Linked DNA regions of Xenopus tropicalis. The protein of the gene in region 3 interacts with the protein of the main gene of each other region in a biochemical or structural test. Links are inferred from orthologs where the notes say so. Each region holds a gene or a part of one and is shown on either strand. Other genes may lie near its edges.

The links.
Region 1: the proteins of tfap2a (region 3) and kctd15 form a complex in vitro, tested with the Homo sapiens proteins (2 studies listed by BioGRID, with this or other methods). The link is inferred for Xenopus tropicalis from reciprocal best matches to the Homo sapiens genes TFAP2A and KCTD15.
Region 2: the proteins of tfap2a (region 3) and cited2 form a complex in vitro, tested with the Homo sapiens proteins (2 studies listed by BioGRID, with this or other methods). The link is inferred for Xenopus tropicalis from reciprocal best matches to the Homo sapiens genes TFAP2A and CITED2.

What each region holds. Positions count from the first base shown.
Region 1 is NC_030680.2:67,909,186-67,912,838, reverse strand, and holds part of kctd15 (BTB/POZ domain-containing protein kctd15), read left to right. Parts: intron 1-2,520; exon of another isoform or gene 2,521-2,688; intron 2,689-3,272; 5' UTR 3,273-3,284; coding exon 3,285-3,448; intron 3,449-3,653. UniProt on the Homo sapiens protein: During embryonic development, it is involved in neural crest formation. Inhibits AP2 transcriptional activity by interaction with its activation domain.
Region 2 is NC_030681.2:63,256,042-63,260,215, forward strand, and holds cited2 (cbp/p300-interacting transactivator 2), read left to right. Parts: upstream 1-1,305; intron 1,306-2,725; coding exon of another isoform or gene 2,726-2,732; coding exon 2,733-3,410; 3' UTR 3,411-4,054; downstream 4,055-4,174. UniProt on the Homo sapiens protein: Transcriptional coactivator of the p300/CBP-mediated transcription complex. Acts as a bridge, linking TFAP2 transcription factors and the p300/CBP transcriptional coactivator complex in order to stimulate TFAP2-mediated transcriptional activation.
Region 3 is NC_030682.2:90,359,828-90,364,142, reverse strand, and holds the start of tfap2a (transcription factor AP-2-alpha), read left to right. Parts: upstream 1-1,422; 5' UTR 1,423-1,492; coding exon of another isoform or gene 1,493-1,498; coding exon 1,499-1,543; intron 1,544-2,354; exon of another isoform or gene 2,355-3,187; coding exon of another isoform or gene 3,188-3,343; intron 3,344-3,374; exon of another isoform or gene 3,375-4,046; coding exon of another isoform or gene 4,047-4,073; intron 4,074-4,315.

The DNA.
Region 1 (3,653 bases), on a different chromosome or scaffold from region 3:
ACAACTGTGAGCACAATGGGACACAAAATCATTTTGTGTGTAAATGAGCATAGCATTCTGATTATTTCACTTTACATGGGCAAATAGCTTTTACAAGCAGCATTTGTGCAGTAAGGTCTATAAAGACAGGGGGAAACAATCTTGCTCTGAAAGAACTTGATGTGTAATTCTTGAAAGGAAATAAAGAAAAAAAAAAAGACATTTCCACATAATTTGGGGACCAGGCGGTATTGGTTTTGCCTACGGCAGGATCGGCTGCTGCTGAATACTTGTTTGTGCTTTAAATTTTTTTTCATGCAATTAAGGATAGTGGTTATTTTACATAGAACAGACTAATTTAATTGCACTTAACCCAGTGTATGCCTGAAGGACACGCAATGCCTTGTGCTGGAGGGACAGGGTCACTAGTAAAACCAAATGATTGCATATAGTTTTGTTCAGGGAATTAGTAAGTTGTTTATGTAATTATGTAATTATTTAGATATGTTTATATATTATTTTTGTGTGATCTATAGCCCATAACCTACCTCAGAGTATCTCAGTAAGAGATCTATTATCCAGAAACCCATTATCTAAAGGCTCAGAAAATAAAGAAATACCATTTTCTCAAGTCCAATGGTCCTTGGTTGCAAAACATTCCCATTTGGTTTTTTAATGTTTAAATAGTAACCATTAGAAATATTGCCCTAAATTATGGAAAACCATTTAAGCATAGAACCGTAGGTCCTATGCATTCTTTATAATACATCACATATCTGTAATATTGTATGTGAAATAATGTTTATTATCAGATTTCAGCTCCAAATACTTGCTATAATGTAACTCTGATTAATACATGGAAAACCATTTTGGGAAATGAACATGAACATCATTTTGCCAATGTATGGACCTCCATCAGCCAAAATACCAATTTTGTTGTGCTGGCCCTCAACATGGAAGCATGAATTAATACATTTAGCTTTCAAACTTTTAGTGGCAGTACCTCATTCTTTTGTACAAAATAGCTCAGATACTTTTCATTGTAATAAAACCTCACCTTGGCCCTGACCATGCATAGCATATAACTGAATCAGCTTAGCAAGGCATCTCTAATGCACATGAAAATAAGCACCCCATTGGAATCAGTCCATCGCATCTTTAAACAAAGAAAAAACAAATGCAGATGTTTCCAATGTTCTCAATGAGGTCTAGATCCAAACAACTGGGGCATTGTAAGTATGGAATCTAGAGATTCTAATGACCTTTCAAAAGTTCATGGTCTGTGAAATGTTCTGCAGTATGACGTTTCCAGCTAAGTAATTATCCCTACAATCCACATTTCAGTACATAATCCAAACTTTTTGTCAGTTATAAGCATGGGACACAGGTTATTTGTATATATTTATTCTGTTCTTCTTTTTCCTTATTATAATGTCTCATACTTATTATACTCTTGTTTTAGCAAAATAAACACAAACTTCAGCCAGTTGGCCCATGAAAAACTTACAGCATAGTAATTGTAATGAAGAAAGCTGGCTCTTTCATTGGCTGTTAACTTTTTAACTCCACATTAATATACGGCTCCTCTCTGTGCTTAGCGAATGGGTGCCATTCATTCATTAGCATCTTGATTGCCCATTCTGGCCCATAGTTCTGTATATAATGTCATTACAATTCTGGCTGTCTGAAGCACCTGACAGTATTAGGAAACGGTGGGTTACATTTTAGCCGAAACTGTTGGTTGCATTAAGTGCTGGGTTGATAAAGATCCAGGTGTAAAAGGTAAAATGCTTATAATTAAGAAATAACATATTTAATTACCCACTATTGCAAGTAATGATAATTATTGTCCCTTACAAAGCTCAAATTTCATACTGGATAAACCAATACAGTTTTTTTTGAAGAGCAGATAAATTATGTGACAAAAATGTAATTTTCCCCCAGCTATGATTAACTAAAAACATGGTTAGAAGCTTAGACTAGAGAGAACTCTATAGGGTTAGGAGAGTTGGGAGTTTAGAAGAACCTTAGGTACAGTGCAATATTAACATGTTTTTTTGCGTTTTTTTAATAGAATTTTTCATTACCTCATACAGTATGATATTTAAAAACTCATTTACATTGGTGTGCAAGGTGCAGAGCGAAAAATAAGTAGTCACCGTAGAAAGCAGACTAACCATTAATTTTATGCCTGCATTTTTGAACTTATAGCAGCAGTGAAGGATCCCAAATGAAGTTAAGTGACAGTTCAGAATCCTCTTTTGCCTTAAAGCATCTGGATCCATTTGGGGCTCTTATGATCCCACAGAGATCAGTGGACACTAATTATATTAAACTCAGCTAAGAAGGAAGGACACACATGCCTGTTTATTCCACACAGAGAATGTCCACAAAGGTGGAGCATAGAGACTGATGCTTGTAAGCACTTGTCTCCTGGTACACATGTGGGACTTCCTAACCTTCTGACCAGAGGTTTAACTGGGGCTAAAGAAGCCTTGGTGTATTTGCAAAGTTTGCTCATGTCATCAGGCACAGAATTACAACCACAGAAAAGGGTTTGCTGAAGCAGAACATCAGAACTTAAACAACATTTAATTATAGTAAAACAATGCACAAGAAAGACTAGAACTGGATCAATCTTCTAAGAAACGGCTTCGTTACAGAGAAATATAACCACAACGAAAACCTTTTAACAATGTCATTTCAAAGGTGACTTCCGAAAATTCATACTAAATAAATTTGAACTGATTTTTTCTTTCTTTTGTGGCTTTTTCCTTTTCATTGGATATTTTGATGGCATAGAAGTGAATAAAACAGAATGATTGTAGTGTAACAGGATTGATATGAAATGTACTCCTTGTGTATATTATATGCCTTAGGTACTGAGGAAGTCACTAATTTGGAGGTGTCTCGTTATTGAGACAAACTTGCAAAAGCCCCTGAATCCCAATTCACAAATTGGTTATTCGTTTGTCAGGGGATATTTCACATCTAACACATAAGCCCACGACCTTTAATTAGAATTTTGCAGTTTGTTTTATGCCCCTTGAGGCTGACACCTTGAAAAAAACGTTCCTTGGTTTCTTATTGCTAATAAGCATATTCCTCCTACCCTCTGGTATTTTGTAGAAAATGATGCAAATATACTTAATTGCAGCAGTGGCAATAATTTGTTAGCTGAGTATAGGATCAGGCAGATGTAAAAATGATCTGATTAGATCTATGATCACATCACAATCAGATAATACCACCGTGTACTGAATGAGAGGTTCTTTTAATTCTTTCTCATCCAGGAGGGAAGCAAAATGTCCCGTCTGTCTTTAACCCGCTCACCGGTTTCTCCCCTGGCTGCCCAAGGAATACCTCTTCCAGCACAGCTTACCAAATCCAATGCTCCGGTACATATTGATGTAGGAGGGCACATGTATACCAGCAGTCTGGCCACCTTGACAAAGTATCCAGATTCTAGGTAAGATGAGAATTTTTCTCATATATATGTATATTGTATGTCTTTTATGCATTTTCAGGGCAGTTCAGAACAATTAAAATATACTGATTGTTCATGTTTAATTAAATTCTGTAAATGTATTGTTTAAACAGGTGCCTTTATTGTCCCTTTGTTGTGTTTTAGCACAAGGTAGATTCTGAAACCAAGTCATTGTAAAACTGCAGGT
Region 2 (4,174 bases), on a different chromosome or scaffold from region 3:
ACTTTAGTGAATCGGGCCCACAGTGTATTAAATGCTGTCATTGATCTGACCCCTGCTTAGCCATGCAGTGATATTATCGTAAAATTTGCATCTAGAATCTATTTGCATAAGAATCTAGAACATAATTGTGAATGTAACAAGGCTATAACCAAGATCAACTTATACATAGATGGAGCTGTAAGCTGCCTATCTGTATTATACAAAGTACAACATACACATCTACAGCTGTTGCTTAATTTTAAGTCTTAACACACCCTGACAAAACTTTGTCTAGCACAGGCATTACGGGAGTTGTAGCACAACAATACATTTAAAAATGCAAGATAAGCTGAATTAAAAGCAGTGCAACTTAAATGTTGCACTGCAATGCATCAGTTTAACCCTTCTAATTGCATTTTATATAAGTAATTAATTTAGGTTGTGTAAAGCCTGAAATCAGAATGTATTTTCATGTTTAATGCTACACAAATAACGCTGCCTTAAAACCAAAGATGAAAGACTCTTATGTTTAACTATGCATCAACTACCAGCAGTTCTGGATGATGCATAGTTGAGGCATAGTTGGTCACAGGGCCAAGGACAATTAAGATTGATTAGCATGACTTTGCCCATGAAGCAAGTCTCTCATTTTATGTGTGTAACATAAGACATCAAAATACCTTGATTTAAGGCTTAGTAAAACTTGATTTATTTCGGAAGGCTTTATACAACTTGATGATCGTCAGTCACATATTTATACAAGAATAAACATATACATAAAATTGCAGCATGACCACATGATTTATCCAGATGGATTTTTAGCTCTGTGAGATATAAATAAATCTTTGTCTTTCATTCTCCACTACCTAACGGCGCTCTCAAATGAAACTGTATTTTTTTCTGAGCAACGAAAAGTTAATAAATAAACCTACTGACTAGCAAATCAAGCTCAAGTGATTAAACGCACGTGTCATAAGGAAAGAGAAGCTGTAGCCGCATAGGGATAGCAGGCTCTGTTTCAGTTCCGGCTGCGCTTATCCAGGTCTTACTTATGCTTCCTCACTAGGGTTTTCCCCTCCCCCTTCTCCACTTCGCTCCTCCCTTTCGCAATCCTATATTAAACAAGCTGGGAAAAAGAAGCACAGTTCATTGTTGGCAAGTACTGATGTGTGGTGGTGGTAGAAATAGAGGAACTCTGTGCTGCAGCAATATCGTATTACAGGGTCATTTAGCAGACTACAAAAGGCAGAGTTGCTCTTCTCTCCTACATGTTGGGATCTGGCTCCTGATCCTCTGCAGTCAGCATTTTTGGAGCATTCTCAAGGGGTAAGCTTTTATTATTCTACCGTTCGGACTATTCTGCAGAGCCCTTTCTTCGTCGTCTCTACTCCCTTCTGTCTTTTTTTTTTTTTTGTTAGTGTTCGGCTTTGAGATGTAAGCCAGATGGCAGTGTCGTGCGCTATAAATAATTTAGTTTCGGTTGGTAAAATGCGTTGTTTTCGTGAGTGGCGTGCCTGTATTTTTATTTTAATCATGATTATTTTAGGATTGCATACCTTATGTATTATGGTATCCAGAAAAAGTACACGATTATTGAAATCCTGTGGAATGTGTTAAAAGTAGCTTTGTGGATGGCTTTGTGTGGATTCAGTAAGTTATCAAAGTAAGCAGTCTGTGCCGTGTTACAGCGCTGGGTAATTGGTGTGTGTATCAACATGCCACTTTGGCCGCATTTGTTAGTGGATCTGAAATCCTTTTAACAGAGGCAGACATGTTAGAGGATTGAAAAGAAACGTGCAGTAATGGGCTATTGAAAGTGTTGCATGAAAGATCCTCAAATAAACACAGCCAAGCTGCAGCCTCTAGCATATGGAGAAGGCTTGAGTATCTTTGTTTTCATTGTTGAATTCGACCGTGGCTGTTCTATTTCCAGGGCTGTATCCGATTTATTATATATTTCGGTTCTCTCGCATTTGTGTAAGAGAGTGTGTGTTTTCATCAGAGCTGTTTGTTTAAAGGCGTGTAAGGAATTTCAAGGGTTCAAGTTGCAAAGCACTGTTAAGCTGATCAGTTGACCAGATAAATGCATAGCCTCTTTTTTGTTTTGTGACAATAATCCAAAGGTGTGTGTGTGTGTGTGTGTGTGTGTGTATATATATATATATATATATATATATATATATATATATATATATATATATATATATATATATATATATATATATATATATATATATATATATATATATATATATATATATATATATATATATACTCTAATATTGGTATGTGTATAGATTTGAGCTGGCTTTTTTTTTTTTTTTTTTTGTATCAAGATGAATGATGTTTTGGTGTCATTTAAAAATGAAGCAAATCCATGGTGGGGAGAATGCATTATATTAATGCAGACCTACTGCAGTGTAATTCTTGTAATGTTGGTAACTTGAGGATTAAATGATGTCCATACAAAACCGTTTCTATCGGTATACAATACAGGAAATGAGCAGAAGTGTAGGTTAATCTGCATTAACGTGCAATGCATACATTTTCAATGTCTGCACAGTGGAAAGTAGCACTGTGTATTAAATGCTTCCATTAGTAGTAAAGCTGTTTAGGGCATGACTGTTAACAGCATAAAGGTGAAACCGCTTTGTTCAGAAAATACTTCCTTTCTGCCCTTATAATAATCGTTTGTCATTTGCCTGTTGTGTATTTTGAGGTTCATATTTTTTTTCCCTGTCCTTAGGTTTGCAATGGCAGACCACATGATGGCCATGAATCATAGCCGGTTTCAAGATGGAACTAATGGTCTTCATCACCCAGCTCATCGAATGGGGATGGGTCAATTTTCCAATCATCATCATCACCCGCAGCAACACACCTTTAACAGCCTAATGGGAGAACACATGCACTATGGACCAGGGAACATAAACGCTAACAATAGCATCAGACATGCCATTGTCACTGGGAATGTAAATGGTGGACATCCAAATGGCAGCATGGCACCAGCATCTAGATTTAACTCGCCATTTATGGGACCTGTCCCAAATCAAGGGGCTCAACTGACTGCTAGCATGCAGTTACAGAAGCTGAACAACCAATATTTTACTCACCACCCCTACCCACACAACCACTATATCCCGGAATTGCACCCTGCAAATCAGATAAATGGGACAAACCAGCATTTTAGAGACTGTAATCCAAAGCACAGCACTGGCATGCCTCCCTCAGTCAGCCACGTCCCTGCAGCTATGCTGCCTCCTAGTGTAATAGACACTGACTTTATAGATGAGGAAGTCCTAATGTCCTTGGTGATAGAAATGGGTTTGGATCGTATAAAAGAACTACCTGAGCTTTGGCTTGGACAGAACGAGTTTGATTTTATGACAGACTTTGTTTGTAAACAACAGCCTAACAGAGTAAGCTGTTAGGTGTGTATTAAGAGTATACAAAGACTTTGAACATTCCTTTATGGGCACAAAACCTTGCTTCCAGAGTCTGCTACGATCTGTACAGATTTTTTTTTCACGTTTTCTTGTCCCCAATACCACAATTTCCATAACTGAGCCTTTACTTTTTATTTAGAGTTTTGTTAAACAACCATGTTAAAACTTCCCCACCCACATGCACATCATTGTAACAACTTGATATAATACAGTTGTTGATTGCATGGGCCTTTAAAGGCAGACTTGCTGCACTAATACTGCCATGATGCTTCATTTAATCTATCATATTCTAAAGTGGCGGTTTCACAAATGTGAGCTAAACCTTGCTGGAAAAGTCCTTCTGTTTGTTTAGTTTGCCATAATTGCCCCTCCTTCCCTTTTCTAGTATAAATCCATGAGATGGGTAAGATGGTTTTTGGAACATTTCACCCAATTTTTTTTTTTTTTTTTTTTTTTAACTCTCTCAATGTTTGACACTGTGCTTAATAGTTAATTTAGTTCATGGAAATACTACTGCGTTGAAGGCTTTTTAGGAAATTTTGACAGTATTTTTGTACAAAACATTTTTGAGAATACTTGTTAATTTATTCTATTTTAATTTGCCAATATCAATAAAGAGCTTCAAAGTGCACTATTCTAGTGTGGATTAATAAGAATTCTATTGTATTATAGTTTGGTCAGTCACCCTAACGCTGAAACATTCTTTAAAAGAGAATGCAAGTCAAAATTTTAAAGCATACTGCTCAATA
Region 3 (4,315 bases):
CAGTGTATTATATTTAGCCGATACTGAATTATTTAACCCTGTGCTTAGAGGCAGATGGAATATTTACACTGTAATGCTTATTTTACAGTAAAATTCCTTACCTTGTTTTATATCACACGGTAATAAAACTTTATATTAATTAGTTCAGCACGTACCCAATAAGGAACCACCGCATACATCTATATTTTGGAGTTTCACATCATTAGCAGTTCTGAAAGCACCTACTCCACCCAAAAATGTTAATGGCGATTTAATGCGAGGGCTATTGATCTGGGGGCTTAGTGTTAAGGGGTCGCTCCCACCCTCTCTCCCCTCTAAACTTTAATGTTTGATCCTCGGGTGAATATTCACATTCAATTAGCTGGGCGGTCATGGTAATCGTGCCGATGGGGCCTGGGTCTGTCTGGCCTCCCTGCATGGCGCTGGCTGGAGATGGACCCTTTTCAAGTTGCCAGTCAATCTGCATAGGCTGGGGAATAAGGCTGAGCTCAATTTCAACCTGAATGAGAGAAAAAACAACTATTTATACAAGACTAAAGCGAGAACACAATGAAGGAACCTTAGTCTTGTTTTGTAGATACTTCTAAAATCATCATGACATTGGCTTTAGACCCCAGTAGTGGCTCCAGACACCTTCTTTAGTCAGATGGCTATTCTCATCTCATTTACCACCACCCAGGGTTTTATCATTATACCCACTGTGCCCCTATGAGCTAAGCTAGAGACTACATACTGACATACCGAGAGAAGAGACAAGAAGCACATTATCTGCTTTGATAATTACACCAGACAAATCTCGTCTCCCTAATAACCCATTGCAGCCCAGAATAGGCCACTCATTCTCCCAGTGTAATGTGATTTAGTACAATTAGCTCTGCTCCCACAACCTAGTGTCAGAATGAAACTCATCTCATTAGATTCAACATCATTTCCTCATCTCCCTTCAATTAAAAGGTTCTCTGAGTGCTACATCTAGAAATTAGTGGGGGATATATTTTTTATTATGCAGGTTATAACCCTGAAATAATTGCCAAGTGGCATAAATCATGTATACAGTGCCATTCTTTTTTTCTATGGTATCTGTGTGCAAAAACAGAAATAGAACTGATGAACAGCAACACATGGAAAGGAATAAAATGTAACGGCCTTGGCAAATATGAAATCTATTGATGATTTGTGCGAAAAACATGGATATTTTCTGTATGGAAAGGAATGTATATATTGTTATAGGGACTGATATTGGGGCTATGGGATCCCAAAGTGCTCCCCTTATGCTGACTGGGAGGCTGGGAGCAGTGGGGCAGTTGCCTGTATGCTAATGAGCACATCAGGACTTGGTACTGGGAAAAAAAGAAACTTTCCACCATTAGAGGGAGATCTGAGTGCACCAAAAGCATCGCTCCAGCCTCCCTCTCTGTAAGGCACACACAGGGACTGCTGCACACAGGACCAGGGACAAGGAAGAACTGGAAAGGTCTCTTCCCAGCCACCCATGAAAATGCTCTGGAAACTAACGGATAATATCAAATATGAGGAGTGTGAGGTAAGGGCCCTGCAGCACTTTTTCTAACAGTTATATGTCCCCCTCCGATCTCTACCTTGTGTGTGTACAGAGTTATTCTGTAAGGTCTGCCGGAGTTTAAAGTACCTGACTCTCTGAGCCCTTTTACTTGTCGGACAGGAACCTTGCACTGCCCTGTAAATATGGCTCAGATTCAGAAATACGTATTTATATACACACTCCCAAACTTGTCTCTCTAATATTACTTTTTATTCATTCAACAACATTGTATATGCTTTTGTTCCCTATGGATAATATGTTGACAAATGAACAAATTATTTAGTTATTGATATAGTTGTGATTTTTTTATACACTAGTTATTTATATCACTATATATATATATATATAGTGTATATAGTAAGTATATATGTATATCCCCCAATTTTCTAAACAGGTAGGGTCGGATTTGTAGCTTTCCAAGGAACGCAGAGTGCAGGGCAAATAGTGCAAAGTGTGTGAGTGACGGATGTGAGTTCAGCATTGGAGCTCACCTGAGAGAGACCCTGATACAGAGGACATGTTGGTGGGGGCTGCCACTGAGCATGGATCACTGTCTTGTTAGGACTTGCAGGCAGCGGCACTGAGTCGCACTCACACCAGACAAATTTGCTAGCATTACCCAAGCGGTTGGTTAAAACACTAAACACAAACACAAGTATATATATATATATATCTAGTGTGTGCTTCATTGTACCTTCATTTTATTTTTATCTGTATTTTTAGGAGACTAAATTAAGCGCAGTTATACATGAAGCTGCCACAATGCAGCAGGGGCACAGCACTGAGATTTCTGATGTTTTACCTGGACTGAAAGCTGAATATTTTGAAAGGCTCTGGTGTCTCAGGTAAAGGATCAGACAGGAGGGAGAGGGCAGAACAGGGTCCCTGTGCATTAGGCAAAGGCTCTTGTAATCTCCCTTTCAGCGCCTGCTTGAAGCCTTATTTTGTTAGCTGTGCATATTTGTACAGGGACATGCAGGCGGTAGGTGGCTCTTGTTGTTCTAACCCCAGCCAGCCAGGAGTTGTGTATAGTTGAACATGACATATTTTGGAGGAGTTGTTTGCTGGAGTGGTAGAGCCAGTCTGACGGGTTTCGAGTGGGAGACTAGGAGAGCCGGGGACGGGCGGAAGGGAGGCAGATTCGGAGCCGGGCAGAACCGAGCCGCGCTGGACTCAGCTCACCCCCTCACTATTGCGGACTGGGGCAGAACCGTTGCCGCTGCGCTGTGCGAACTATAGCATCTACTTCCCAGGCAAAGCGCCCTATCTGCACCCTGGATCTGCCAACGGGGACAGGAAATCAGAGCTAAACAAAAAGAAGAGAGTTGCCCTGCTCCCTTCCGGGCCCTGCATGCTCCCACAAGCACAGCAGCAAGGGTGGATTTCTCTTTTGTCTCACACTGAGCTACAGGGCTTTGCTGGGCTGAGGAAGGAGCCCTGTCTCACATGTTTAGCCCCAAGCAGCGCAGTGGTACAGGTTATTCGTGTACGAACTAAGGACACAGGTTAAGAGCTGCTGAGATCTGGGGCAGGAGGACATACAGAGAGCTGCCGGGCAGAATTTTGGAGGCTGCCATTTTAAGCTGGTTCTGTTCTGTGGCACTTGTGGTTGCAGCCCATAGGGCTATGGATCAGTCACAGAGGGCAGGAGATTCGGGCCCCTCAGATACAGACATGAAAAGCAAAGGGTTGAACTCCACAGAGAACATTCCCGTCCCCAGCAGCAAGAGAAGGACCTCAGACATGGACATGTCATTTCCAGGATATTCCCAGGATTCCCAGGTGCCAAATCCTTTTATCTGCCCCTCACCCCCCTTGCCTGTCACTGCTGATCCCCATACTCTGGAGCTGTTTCCCTTTTGCATGCCCTGCAACCTTTAAAATGTCCCCCCCTTCCTTGTGATTCGTCAGCCAGCCCCCCTCTCTCCCTCACTCTCTGAGTCTCTCCCTCCTCTTCCTCCCCCTCCACCTCTGATTAGATACACTGCCTCTTCATTCAATGGACGTCATTTAGAACAGGGCTCTGCCTTGAGTTGCCTCTTCGGTTCACGCTCGATTTCCAAGCATTCTTCCTTTATTAAGTATCGGTGTAATATTAATAGTCATGAATATGAGGGCTGCAAGGCTGGCAGCCTGCGCCTGTTAGTAGGAAAAGCCTGCGGAGCTGCATCCAGGAACAGTGTCTAGGGGACAAGGATTAAGGAAACCCAGAAATCCAAACTTTGCCTAAAACATCCCTCCCTGAATAGCAATTGTGCTCTCAACCCAAAATGAAGAAGAATTTCCTCCACATCTGATGGATTATATATGCTTATTATGCCTACAGAGCCTTGGTCCTTATGATTTTGTAGGGACCAGTTTCTAGAGCTGGGATTTTATTTTCATTTTTTTTCCACTTCTCTAAATTTTTTTTTTCACATTTCTTCTTTGATCAACGTTTTCTTTCTGATTTCTCTTCTTCAATTTGTATATATACTCTGCCCAGATGTTGGTTCACAGTTTTTCCGCTATGGTGAGTGGCTTATTTCTAGCAATTATACAGTATTATTTCTGATCTGGGCGATTTTTATCTTCTTTTTTTTCCCTTTTTTTTACACTGAACCTTTGCGATTGCACAGAAATTGTTATCCTTTTATTTGTTTGGATCACCCTCAAATTTTTACCCCCCTCCTTTTTTAATAACAAATGCTGTATTTATTTAATTCACTGAGTGTTTTCTAATTTTTTAAATTAGTTTTTAATGTTTTTAAAGAG